Linked DNA regions of Caenorhabditis elegans. The protein of the gene in region 1 interacts with the protein of each later gene in a pairwise test. Each region holds a gene or a part of one and is shown on either strand. Other genes may lie near its edges. The genes, in order: zag-1 and daf-19.

The links.
Region 2: the proteins of zag-1 (region 1) and daf-19 interact in a two-hybrid assay, tested with the Caenorhabditis elegans proteins (one large-scale study listed by BioGRID).

The regions. Positions count from the first base shown.
Region 1 is NC_003282.8:3,854,055-3,861,853, reverse strand, and holds zag-1 (Zinc finger E-box-binding homeobox protein zag-1), read right to left. Parts: upstream 6,012-7,799; 5' UTR 6,005-6,011; coding exon 5,846-6,004; intron 5,284-5,845; coding exon 4,741-5,283; intron 4,463-4,740; coding exon 4,361-4,462; intron 4,141-4,360; coding exon 3,952-4,140; intron 3,671-3,951; exon of another isoform or gene 3,456-3,670; intron 2,252-3,455; coding exon 1,904-2,251; intron 1,534-1,903; coding exon 1,362-1,533; intron 1,008-1,361; coding exon 730-1,007; 3' UTR 285-729; downstream 1-284. UniProt on the Caenorhabditis elegans protein: Transcription factor. Down-regulates expression of genes involved in either the synthesis or reuptake of serotonin, dopamine and GABA.
Region 2 is NC_003280.10:10,166,234-10,171,341, reverse strand, and holds the start of daf-19 (RFX-like transcription factor daf-19), read left to right. Parts: upstream 1-1,996; 5' UTR 1,997-2,020; coding exon 2,021-2,088; intron 2,089-3,079; coding exon 3,080-3,268; intron 3,269-5,034; coding exon 5,035-5,108. Other genes in the region: gpd-4 (Glyceraldehyde-3-phosphate dehydrogenase 4), read right to left, coding at 1-62. UniProt on the Caenorhabditis elegans protein: Probable transcription factor. May regulate some genes of ciliated sensory neurons. May activate the expression of the shared components of sensory cilia, but not the cell-type-specific expression.

The DNA.
Region 1 (7,799 bases):
ACATTTATGCCTACCTGGATTCTTGGCCAAATGTCGACCATCTGCACTGCTTGTCTGCGTTCTGCGTGTCTCATCGCCTACCTACTAACCTGCAGCCATGCCTGTTCTACCGGCAACTTGCAAATTTTGCAAAATAATGTTTGATGTACCATGTTTTATTTTTCATAATTCGAGAGTTGCATGGTCGGTAAAATTGATTTAAATATATAATTTTTCGATAGCTCTATTGCATCGTTGATTGCAGTTGAAAATGTTTTTTTTTCTTGCAACAAATTTTCCTCAAAAAAAAAAGAACAATTTATTATCATTATTAATATTATTTAGCCAAAACTAAACAAAACAAAACAAAAAGGAGAAGGGAATCTGCGTTACACGAAAGTTAGTTGGTCCCAAATGAGCCAGCACGGAAGGTAGGGGAAGGAAATTTCAAATTGCACCATTTTTTGTGAAGATCTGACTAGTAGTTTTTGTTCTAGTTGAAATAAAAATTGGGTTAAGAAAGAATTGAAAGTGAGGTGGGGGAGAAAAGCGAAAGCACGGCACCGGCCAGGAGATAAGTTGAAGGAAAAAGCGAAGCATATCACGGAGAATGATGACTATATTTTCAGGGAAAAAATTTGATAAACTGTACATAAAAAGCACCATAGGAAGCTGCAAGGCAAGACGTTTATTGGCACAGCCAATATTTCGGAAGAATTTCAAAAAAAAAAGTTGGAAAAGTTGAGATCTCTAGGTAGAAGGCGGTGGGGTATTCGAGGAGGATGGGGATACGGTAACACTTCCGCCGTTCAAAACGTCGGACGGTGAAGCTGGCTGCTCCCGGTACGGTTTGCAGTACGAATAGCGGTGGTTCATGTGCTGACTGTAACTTCCAGAATGGGAGAATCTCTTCAGGCATTTGTCACATTGGAATGGCTTCTCGCCGGAGTGGAGCCGCTTGTGCTCGGTCAGGTGATGCTTGTGCTTGAACGCCTTCTCGCAGATGTCACATTTATAAGGGCGTTGGCCTGAAAATTGAAGATTTTTATTGAAATTTAATACGTTTTGTCAGTTGACTATTTGGAAAACTAACTGGCTCAAAAGTTACGAAAATTTAAAGCGGCCAGTTTCTCGATGTCAAAAACTTGAAAAAATTCAACCTTTTTGCTGATCAAATTGTATTCAAAATGATTTGAGCTTAAGAACACATACAGCTGTCCCCCGGTCTATCTTCTCAATTAGATTACCCCCTTCTTCAATTAATACGATTGCATCACGTATGTATCCAAACATGGTGTCTATTTTCTCCCCCTCTAATACCCTCTAATTTCCTGTACCTCCCCTCCATCCTTTCCGCCCATCTACAAGGATGCTTTACTCACCAGAATGTTCGTATTTGTGTCGAGCCAGTGAACTTTGCTTGCCGAACACCTTGTCACATTGATCGCACGAGAAGAGACCCTCTTCCTCTTTTAGGGGGGTCGTGGGGAATTTGAGAAGCTTGGATTCGTTGGAGCAAAGGGATGAGGCGTCGTCTTCGGATGATTTTTGTTGCTGAAAATATTTAAAATTTTGGTTGAATTTGGGGCCAAATTATGATGCACCATGTCTTGAAAGTTATTTGTAAGAGCATATCTTGGCGGGTAATAAAGCTTTTCAAAAATTTGTTTATTGGAATAAATAATCACATATCTTACAGCTCTTATATCTTCACGGAAGCCCAGGCTATCAAAAAAATTTTTACTGAAAAAGTCTTAACTATAAAATTTGCTGAAATTTTTCAGTTGATAATTTTTTAATAAAACTTACACCCGCTGAGATATGCCAAAAAGGTTTTTTGTTCTTTCCAACTGACAACGCTATTCAAAACATGGAGCATCAAAAATTGTATTGCGAAACACTCCGAAAAATCTATAAAACTTACATCAAGAGCTTTCTCCAAAACCGATAAGCTAGCAGAGTCCAAAATCGATGGGTACTGCCCAATAAACGACGGCCAAATCGACGAAGATCCGCTCGACACGGGGCTTTCCTCGGCCTTGATCGGCTTCTCCTCCTCGTCCTCTTGATTCGTCACGAATCCATTTCCAGCCTGCCGCAGCAACTCCTGGATCACTCCACCAGTCTGGTCGAGGAAGCCGATGAGCTTCTCAGGGCTCCACTCGGGCTCCGTGTCGTCTGTGGATAGCGTGAGGTCCAGTGGTGTCTCTTTGCCATCCTTAAGGCCATCATGATCCATTACCTCGTCCGTATTCTCGTTGTTGCGCTCGTCCTGGAATATGATTCATTATGATTCATTAAACTTTCAGAAATACCAAAATAGTAAGGCGTGACCCCCGAATTCAACTAATTTTCAATTTTCAAAGCCAAAAAGTCCCCCTTAAGAAAGCGAAAAGGAAGGAGGGGGACAAAGAAGCTCATTAGCAGGTGCTGCCTGCCTTCCACCACACACACTGACTCCTCACTGCTCCTTCTTTTTCCCAATACCAAAAACACTCGAATTCATTTCATTTCCATTGATGGGTCCCGTCTCTGCCCCGTCTGAGTCTCCAACCGCCGCCGCTTCATCTCGGTGTGAGAGCGCGCCGGCGGATGGACAAGAGGAGAAGGTAAATTGAATGACACAAATTATGCAAGAAGACAAAAGGAAATTGATGAGAGCATCATGTGAGATGAGCCCCCGATGCACTTTCAGGCCATCTTCGACAGTCCCCCGCCTAAGCTTCCTGCTCCCTCAGACTCTCCGGAGCCCAGAGGACCCATTCAAAGCAACATCTTGAGAAGCGGGCTCAGGTGGTGGCTGGTGACAACAAGCCATTCACCCTCATTTAGTATCATCCTATTATACATCTCTTCCTGTTTCTGCCTTCCCTTCTTTTATGGGTGTCTTCTCGACAGATGCTCTCCTATTCATATCTACGACAATGTCCCCTCTTTTAGGTGTCTATTCTTCCTTGATTGGATTATAGGAGTGAAGTTTTTTGAGGCAAACACTTTTGTAGTGGCGTGGGATTTTAGCACCAAACATGGTGCATTGAGAATTGAAAAATTGAATATCTCTACAGGGGCTTGAGATATCTAAACGTGATTTACTGACAAAAAGTTAACCACAAAATTTGCTACATATTGTTAGTTGGTAAATTCTTGATAGCTCTGATGCCCGCAGAGATGTACCCTCAAAATGACACTATCTTCCAAACTTGGCACATCGGCAGAGAGCGGAGACCGCAGTTTCCAAAACATGGTACATCAAAGCTACAAAATGTTGAACAAATATTTATGCTTTCAAAAAATGTTTGCTCTGATGCTAGCAAAGATAAACCCTTGCAAAAACTCTCCGAAACATGGTGCAAGGACTAAATTTTCCACGATTTGTCAGTTGCCAACTTTCTGATAACACTTTTCTTGGTATACCTTCTAAAACATGATGCTCCACCGAGAAACTGTTCAACTACCAACTTAATTTCCTCGCCAGGAACAGTACCACCCATAAATATTCATAAAACTAGGAGCAGGTGTCGAATTAGGCAAATTTGATGAGACGTGGGGCGAGGGGGCACATGGTAGGGAAGCCTCATTTACAACCTGCCTCAAGCAACGAGAGACAGGGAGGAGTGGATGGGGGGATGAGGGAGACGTGAAATTGATGAATTGATATTTTGAAAGAAGTGAGTGAGCCCCCAAGCTGGTTGGGACAACATGATTTATGGATCACCTGGGGCTACCCGAAACATCAAATTTCTGATCAATTATATTAGGAAAGTTGACACGTTGTACCTGATGACCCCCTAATGACCCCCTTGAGATATAATTGTCAAATGCGCGAGAAGGTTAAAATTAGCAAAAAGTGTTGTCTATTTCCTATAGCCAGATTTTTTGCTACTTTTAATCCAATTGTATAGAATCTGGCACCAAATGTGTGTGCGCGAAAACAAAACATGTGTCACACATTTTCTGATTCCCCACAATTACCTGAGATGCGGTCAAGCTGTTGTTTCCATTTGAGAACTGTGAAGCCCAGGCAGCCATCAACTGTACAGGCGTCTGCCATACGGTAGGTGAAGTCGCAGCCGCAGCTGCGGCAGAAGCCACACTGCCGCGTGGCATACTTGGGAGCCGATTGCTCCGGCGTTCTTTGGCTCGAGTGTTTTGGAACCAGACCTGGAAAAACGGAAGAAATGTGTATGCGGTAAACTGGTGGAATAACGCGATGAGCACCGGCACCTGCGTCCTGGGGACGTGATGTATGTACAACAATTTGATGAGCCACTTGAGCACATGTGTGTGTGTATGTGCTTCCACTTCCCGTCCAGAGACGCCACCTTGTGGGAAACTTTTGTGGGAAAGCGTCGTTAAAAACGGCGAATAAATCTTTACTCACCTGAACGACGCGCTTGTTGACGCCAATCTGCTCGGCCACGGCGGAGAGCTCGTATTTGGAGGGAAATGGGTTGCGTTTGAAGTGGTTTTGCAGAACTGCCACCTGAAAATATTGATTTTAAATTAACGTTTTATGTTTGCTGTGGTCTGAAAACTTTGCTAGTAAAAAAATGTTTGATGCACCATGTCTTAGAGATTATTTCTACTTGAGGAAGGGCTCTACCAAATTTTTAGTAACCAGCTAATTGTTTCTTAAAGTTTTGCAAACATTTTGTTAGTTGACAGTTTTTGATAATCCTCAGAACGTGGTACATCGAACAATTTTTCAATCTTTGGTACAAAATTTAGATAAAACTTCCAACAGTTTAAAAAAATCCTTACCTGTGAATCATTCAAAAAGCTTCTAGACCTCAGCGGCCTCCAATCCGGCGACGACTTCCCATCGGATCCGCTGCCTCCATTATTCATCGACTCATTTCCGTTTTGCTCAGGCGCAGGTGACAACGACATTGACACGGCCGGCGTTATCGATTCCTCTGGCACCGAGTCCTCCGTCTTGACCTCCGTCTTGACCTCCGTTTTCACTTCAGAAGACACTTCCGGCTCATCGACTACCTCAATCTTCGGCTCAGGAGACGCTGGAGCGCTGGGCTCCTGAGTAGGCGTTGGCGAGGTGCCGTTCTCTAAAGATTGGAACAAATTTGCCTGGAGAAGGCTCATATAGTCCATATTGTTTGCGGCGGTGGACGGGAGAAAGGAGACCTGGGGAGTTTGCAATTGGAGCATAATATTCCTATACATCATCAGCTGATATGGATTGAATGGGGTCACCATCGACGGGGATGCCTGTTGCACGCATTTCTTCGAGCTCATGTGTGAGGAGTACGATCCGGAGTGCGAGAAGCGTTTGTGGCACTGTTGGCACTGCAAAAAATAAAGTAAAAACATTAATTTATCACGGAGGCAGCGAGCGCAGGAGCTCCCCCACTGGGACCTATAAATCTTTGAGGCACTGGATCACACGTACTGATGGAGAGCCAAGGTTTGTTTATTGCACCCAAAGGTGCATTATTTCGCCGCTAGCCAATAGCCGCACAAGGGGCGTGGGCTCCAGGTGAGAGGTGAGCCAGAGGTGCGGGGGGAGGGTGGAGCTCAGGTAGCGTAAAGTATCCCGTATCCAATGAGCACACACCTTTTGAGGATGAAGCCTAGCTAGCTATAAGGAAAAAAAAGATGCTCGGGGATGTAGACGAATTAATGAATGCCTAGCGGGCATCTATACTTTTCCGGCCGGCTCTCTCTCACCTTTTGTTGTTCTTGCTCAAAACTAGAAAACTTATGTTGTGAGAGGAGAGCCCCGGTCTTACACCTATATCATCATTAGAGCACAGGTATTTCTCCCCTCATTCCCCGCTTGTCATGTTAGACATTGATAAATTGGTTAGCTGGGAGAGCAACAGGTGACTCGGCGAGCACTAGGACCTACCTCGAAAGGTTTCTCGCCCGAATGGATTCTGATGTGCTCCTTGAGGTGATGCTTGAATTTGAACGCTTTTGTGCATTCCGGGCACTTGAATTTGCGCAGCGCCTCGTCTGATGGTAGACTGCTGGCGGTTGTTGGCATGGCTTCGGCGATATCTACCATTTTACCTGGAATTTAGAAAATTAAAAACAAAAAAGAAAAAAGAAATGCGTAATTTTATAGAGAAGAGAGAAAAATGGGGGTATCCGCTCAGATTTGATAGCTATCAATGATTTGTTACCTAGACAATTTGTAGTGAATAAAATATTAAACTTTAATTTTTTGATAGCTTGCAAATCTTAGAATATATGACAGTTAGTTAGTAAAAATTTAAGCTGACAAGTTATCAAAAAGTGTTTTAAAAAACATATTCTCAATTGTAAAAGTATTGTATTTTTGCTAGAAAGTTACTATAAATTATACGTTACAAATTTGGCAGGAGATATCTCCGCGAGTTTGTTAGCTATCAAAAAGTTGTCAAACAAGAAAATGTAGCAAATTTGATGTTCTACAGAATAACAGGGAAAAATTTGTTTTCTACCAGATTCAAAAAGATACAACAGGTTAAAATTATCAATTAACAAAATTTCGAAAAAATAGAATGCCACAATGAGTTCTAGGTGAGCTATGAAAATTTTATTTGAGTGACCAACTTGACCACTGATGCTCAAAAGGCTCCAAAAAACCGCCAGAGGTACTGTAGACCAAATCGAGAAAACTCTTGAGCGAAAAGCTCTTGAGGAAAGAAACGGTGAAAAGGGGGAATGGAAAAGAAGAGGAATAATTGAATGAATAAGAAGCAGCAGGCGGCACTCAGGAAAAATGAACAAAGGGTAGAAGTAGTGTGAGAGGATGGCCAGGCACCTTGATGAGTTGGCAAGATATGGAAGTTTTCCGCGAAATGAAAGAGACACACACACACAGAAGAGAGCATCCCAATAATGGGGCCCCCTTCTTTAGTAGCAAAAGCTCCCCGAAGAAAGGGGAGAAGAAAAAGCGGAAAACGTGCGGGGAAAGGTGCCAAATGAAGAAGATGCACACCTAGAGGAGCGGTGCCTCTTGCCGCAGGGCTCCAGACGACGTGAGAGCTCACTATGAGAATGTGTGTGTGTGTGTGTGTGCAGTCTCGCACACCACCCAACACTCACACACAATAAGAGAAAAGAGAAGAAGCACACATGAACCTCAGGAGGGCTCATCTGTGAGTGTTTGCGGGAAGCGACGGACCCCCATCCACCTGCCACCAGCCACGCCCACATTTTGGGGGAAGGAAGACCACTTTACCTTACTGTAGTTGGGATGAATGAAGGTTCGATTGCCAGATGGGAAGGGGGGCTCCGCCCAGTTTCTGGAGCCCCTTTTGGGAATTTCGGTGTCCGGGTGGGTGGAGTTTTAGAGGCGGGAAGGAGGGGCTTCGAAATTTTTGGCGGGTAACAGCAATCAGGAAAAAATTGTTTCTAAATTTTGCCAAAAAACTATGCCAAACTATATAACTGAAATGTCGGTTTCAGGATAGGTACTTAGTAAATCCTAAATTGAGACAATATGAAATAGTCAGCTGACAAAAATCGTTACTCCTGATCTTTATGTACGGAAGACAATAATTCCAACGTGATGTTAGGCTGTCCCATCACGGCTTGATCTACAAAAAATGCGGGAATTTTTCCACAAAAAAGTGACATCAGCACGTTCTTAACCATGCAAAATCAGTTGAGAAGTCAGTTGAGAATATTCTAGTAGATCTACGTAGATCAAAAAGAAATGGGGCACTCTGACACCACGTGAACTTCCTAAACTCAAGAGAAATTGCCAACTCACAAAATAATCCGCGTAAACTTTTCTCTAGTTATAATTATTTTTCAGAGATATCAAGAACTTAAGACGACATTTTTGTACCCATGACTCGACTAATTTAACG
Region 2 (5,108 bases), on another chromosome or scaffold:
GCGCGGAGCACGAGACGTCCGATTCTTCCGAAACCGTTGATTCCGACGTTGGCTTTCGACATTTTTTTGAGTCTGTAAGAAAACTTGAATGAAATTTTGACGGAAGATTCACAAGAAGTAATAGCTTAAGAAGGAACAAATCTGAATAAAAATGGCGAAAATTCAGATTGAAGCAAAGAGAGCAAAGCAAAATCAACCGCATCGGGAAGAAAAAGAGAATAAATGATGAAAAAGAAATCTAGATTGGTGAACAACTGCAGAAAATTGAAAACTTGCCGCTCGTGCGCGTCTGCAAAGCGCAAAAATATTTTTCATATTCGTTGCGAGACCCGTGGTTTTTAAATTTGGTCATCCCTTTAAAATTGAAAATTCTGGTGGAAAAAAATCAATAATTTTTCTTCAAAAATAAAGAGAAGATCAAAAATTATTGAAAATGAATTTTTATTCCGAAAAATCGAGAATAACACTAAATTTATCAGCTTTTAAGTGTAATCTAGAAATAAAAAAGAAAAACTATGCAAAAACTGAATATAAAAATGTGAAAATAAAATATTTTCGTTTCTTTTCTGAAGAAAAAAATAAATATAATATGCATTGTTTTATATCTATGGATATAAGACAATAATTGTTGATTTTTAGCTATTTTCAACAGGAAAACCGATTTTGTGCCGCTCTCTGATAAACTTGGGTACGGTATGTCTTGAAATCGAAAATTGTAACTCATAGTTTATTACGGGAACACAAAATTCTGAGAATGCATATTATTTACGGGCTCGAATGGATTAAAATAATTTATTTATCTATAGAATACTAAAATTAAGCAAAAAATGAGAAACGAATGAAAAAAGAATGTCGCTGTTCGAAATTAAATTAATTTCATAAATCGAGCCCGTAAATCGACACAAGCGCTACAGTAGTCATTTAAAGAATTACTGTATACAGCTGTAGTTCTCGCTACGAGATATTTAAAGCGTCAAATATGTTGCACAGTACGAATTTTTAGAATTTTGTGTTCCGGTAATATGTAAACTGTATTAATCATCCAGATTAAGAATATTACAATTTATAAAGCAAAAATACAGTATCAGGTCTCGACACGACCTTGAATTTTTAAACGGTTTCTCCAAAAAAGAGTGTACATTTTTAATAAGTAACTACAATAGTTCTTAATTGTCGCGGTTCACAGCTTTCAGTAACAAACTTCCGATCGTTGCAAGACCGTATTCTTGCAACATCTTTGTAGTTTCAAACTTTTAAACATGACTTTGACAGAACATTTCAGAGTTTTTTTGGGATGTCTGATTGTTTTTAACAGGTATGTTTGAAGAAGGAAATTTAATAAAATAAGTAACCTAGGTATATTATATTATTAACTCTCAAACATGTTGAATGTTTCATGTTACTTGAAATACTTGAAATTTGAAAAAAAAACTATTGTGATACTGATACATGTTACGGTATTTATTTTTCAGATTCGCCAGTCTGTGAGGAATATGTCCTAGTTTTCAGCTTCCGTTCCTATGCAAGCGCCGAGCCACCTTCTTCCCAACCTCGGGGGCCCTTAAAGAAATACTTTTAAGAAGGAGAAGCAGGGAAGAAGTGATGTTCCATTGTTGAGAGGGGCCCTAGGCACACACACATATCTCCTTTTCGTCCCATCTCTTCACCCACAACAACACACACACAACTGAGACACACACACTCGCACCACACACACTCACACAGACAGACACTCTCTCACTCACTCACGTACACTCCCCCAGGCAACGAGGAGACACTCCCCGCTGCCGCACATATTTTATCGACGCAGCAACTTAGTTTCGTTCCCCCCTCCCTAACTCTCTCTCTAGGCCACCTTTGCTTTTCTCTAGCTGCTTTTCCGGCTTCATCTCGGCTTCTTTTACAATTTTGGTTTCCATGGAAACTACTTCCAAATTATCCAAGAGACTAAATGCAACATCGTCTGGGTCTCTCTCTGTAAATGTCTAGTTTCAGGGGTGGTGCGGCAGAGAAGAAAGTCATGACCAATGAGGAGCCGGTGCCATCGACGAGCAGTGTGCTCAGTGCAGCCGAGAAAAACGTGAAGATGTGAGTAGTCTATCTGCAAAAATCGGCTGAAAGTCTGTACGACCACCTGTGCGAGAAAAACCCCATATCTTATCATATCAAATTCTCCCATCCCATCACTTTTTTCCCATTATTTCCATTTTCGAGAAAGAGATGAATGACCTTCACACGGTGTCGTCGTTGGGTGGCCATAGGAACATTGAATTGGAGAAAAAAAAGATACAGCAAAAAAAAGTGTGACATGACAAGAAAAAAACTGTTTAAGAAAAAAAAGAAGAAAATTAAGTAAATGAGGAAGGAAGTAGGAAAAATACTTTATTTATCAAAATAAATGTATAATATTTCAAAAAAAAAATCACCGAAACTTACAGTTTTGAAAAATGCGTTTCGTAGAACAACTACTATAGTGCTTAAATGTTCAAAAATTATAGCAAAACTTTTGGTTTTTTTTATTTACAGTCAAAAAAGTGGTGAAAACTTTGTCATAATTTTGAAAATCGACCAAAAAAATCAAAATTTCTACGAGTTTTATATTTTAATTAGAACGTTCTAGAAATTTGAACCGGCATCAATTTCACAATTTCGGAACATTTGGCAATTTACTAACTTCGGAAGGTTTTCAGATTTTTCAAAATTCAAAAAAAAAATCGAAATTTTTGTAGTGTTTAATTAGGATATTTGGCTTTTTTTCTACAAATGTATTTCTTTAGGACATAATTCAGTTTATGCTTAGGCAAGAAGGCTCTAGGTGTATGTGCCTGCCTATCGAAATGTACTGCAATTTTGCGTGAACTCCGGTATTTTCATGTTTTTGATAATGTAGATTTTAATCCGAACTTCTTAAGTTAATTTTCAAATCAATCAATTTATCGAAAGGTCTTTTAAAAATGCGCACAATAGGCTCCAAGCAGGCCTAGGTTTTCTTGAAGGCTGGCAAAGTATATAATCTTGTGAAATATTTTTGAAGCTTTGAAAGTTGTGGTCACTTTAAAACAATAACCAATTTTTTCAGAGAGACTCCTTCAAGGAAGCGAAAAGGACTTGATATTGATGCACTTTGGAGGAAGAAATTTAAAGATGTCGAAAATCAAAAATCACCGGAGAAATCTGAAAAGTCTGAAAAAACGATTAAAGAAGAGCCTCTAGAAACACATCCATCTGGAGAAAGAAAACTTCGATCTGCATCCAAAGATTCAAAATCGTAAGTTTTTTCTTTCAACAACCAACAAATTGACTATCAATGGAGCGTTTTGTAAAATGTGTTTAAAGTTGAGGAACTAACGTTCTCATCTTCACACTTCCTCTCTACTTTGGTTCCTCTCTCTCTTCATCTGCTCCTGGCTTTGCATCTTTTCTCTCTGGAGAATTGGCGAGGGCATAAATTAGCGTAGAGTAGTGGTCGGTTTGTCTATGCTATACTCTCAGACCCAAAACGAAGAGCAAAGTGAGAGAAAGTAGAAAGAAGAGCACAAAGATATGAACAAGAAATTATGAAAAAGATGGTGAAGCACCCGGTGTGTGAACGTGACCAAAAGCGGGAAGTTTTCTGAAAATAAAAACAAATTAGCTGGAATAAAACGACAACGAAAAATAATGAAACGATAAAAGAGTAAGAAAAGGAAATTAAATTTTACATGAAAATGTAGGATTTTCAAAACATTAGTAATATTAAAAAAAAAAAAACTAAAGTATAACATGATTATCAGCTACAGTAACAGATAGAATTTTGAAAACTTGAAATTGAAATATTCCAAACTTTGAAAAAGTGCACAGTTCAAAAGGAGTTGTATGGAAAAATGATTTTAACTGAAGTTTTAATCAAAAACTGAAACAGATCGATTTGAGTTTAAAAAATTTACTATAGCTGCATACAAGCATATTGAAACATATAAAGTCTGTCTGAAAGTTTTCAGACAATTATTTAATTTAAGTAAATGAAATTGGTTGAGAAAATGAAGTTTTATTTTTGTTCAGAAAAGCTTCAATGATATTTTAAAGATACGAGAACGATTTTAAAATATTCCCAGAATTCTTAATTTTTTTATAATTTAAAAAATCAATGAAATTTTTTAAAAACAATTCTCTGAAAGAACAGAAAACTTATTTAGGACTATGATTTTATTTCCGAATGTTTGAAGTACCAGAATTACCACAAAATATAATTGAAGTTTCCTATTTTTTAAAAGAAAAATCTGATCACATCGCTTGATGGAAAATGATTTTGGATAAGATTAGAAATGTGATCTTTAATTAGAAAAATCCACAAAATAATGTGTCGGAAAAAAAAAACAAATGCAGATGAATAAAAACAGAACTTGAAGGTTAAAGGGAAAAATTCCAATTTTTTTAATTTGCAGTCAAAACTTGAGATTAAAAAACTCAGTTTTTGCCAATCATAATTTTGGAAATCGACAAAAAATTGTTTCCGTAAATTTGGTAATTTGCTAAATATTAGGCTGTAAATGCTCCAAAATTAAATAAAAATTCGGGGGTGTCAGCTCAAGAAAAGTCAGTTCAAGATGATTAGATGCTGCAAGTTTTCGATTGGCTTGCAGGGGGTGCAACTTTAATAGAGGGAATTCGGTATTCCGAATTAGTAATAGTGAAATTGAAAATTGAGAAAAACTCACATTAAAGGTAAATTAGAAGAAGCACGAGTTCTTTCTAAATTCCAAAATATCTCGTGAACTCGTGCCAATTAAGAGGAGAACTAGTGGCGGGTGGAGTGGTGTGCTTGTCGGCTTGGAGTGGGTGGAGTGATAACAGAAGCCCGATTCGGAGTCCCTTTCTGCGTTTCCATGGATACGGGGAATAATGAAAACCTCGCATCCGCTTCCCCCCACTTTTGTCATCTCATACTACTACTATTTAGTTTATTTGTTAATTTTTCATATCCCATGTCTTTTCGACATGCTAAAATTCAAATCCTAGAGTCAAATTTAATGCACAAGTAGTTCAAATTTTCAGATTATCAAAAGAAACTCACAATACAATAAGCACAAGGTCTTCTTCGTCTGGAACACCTCGTAAGAAAATGGAGC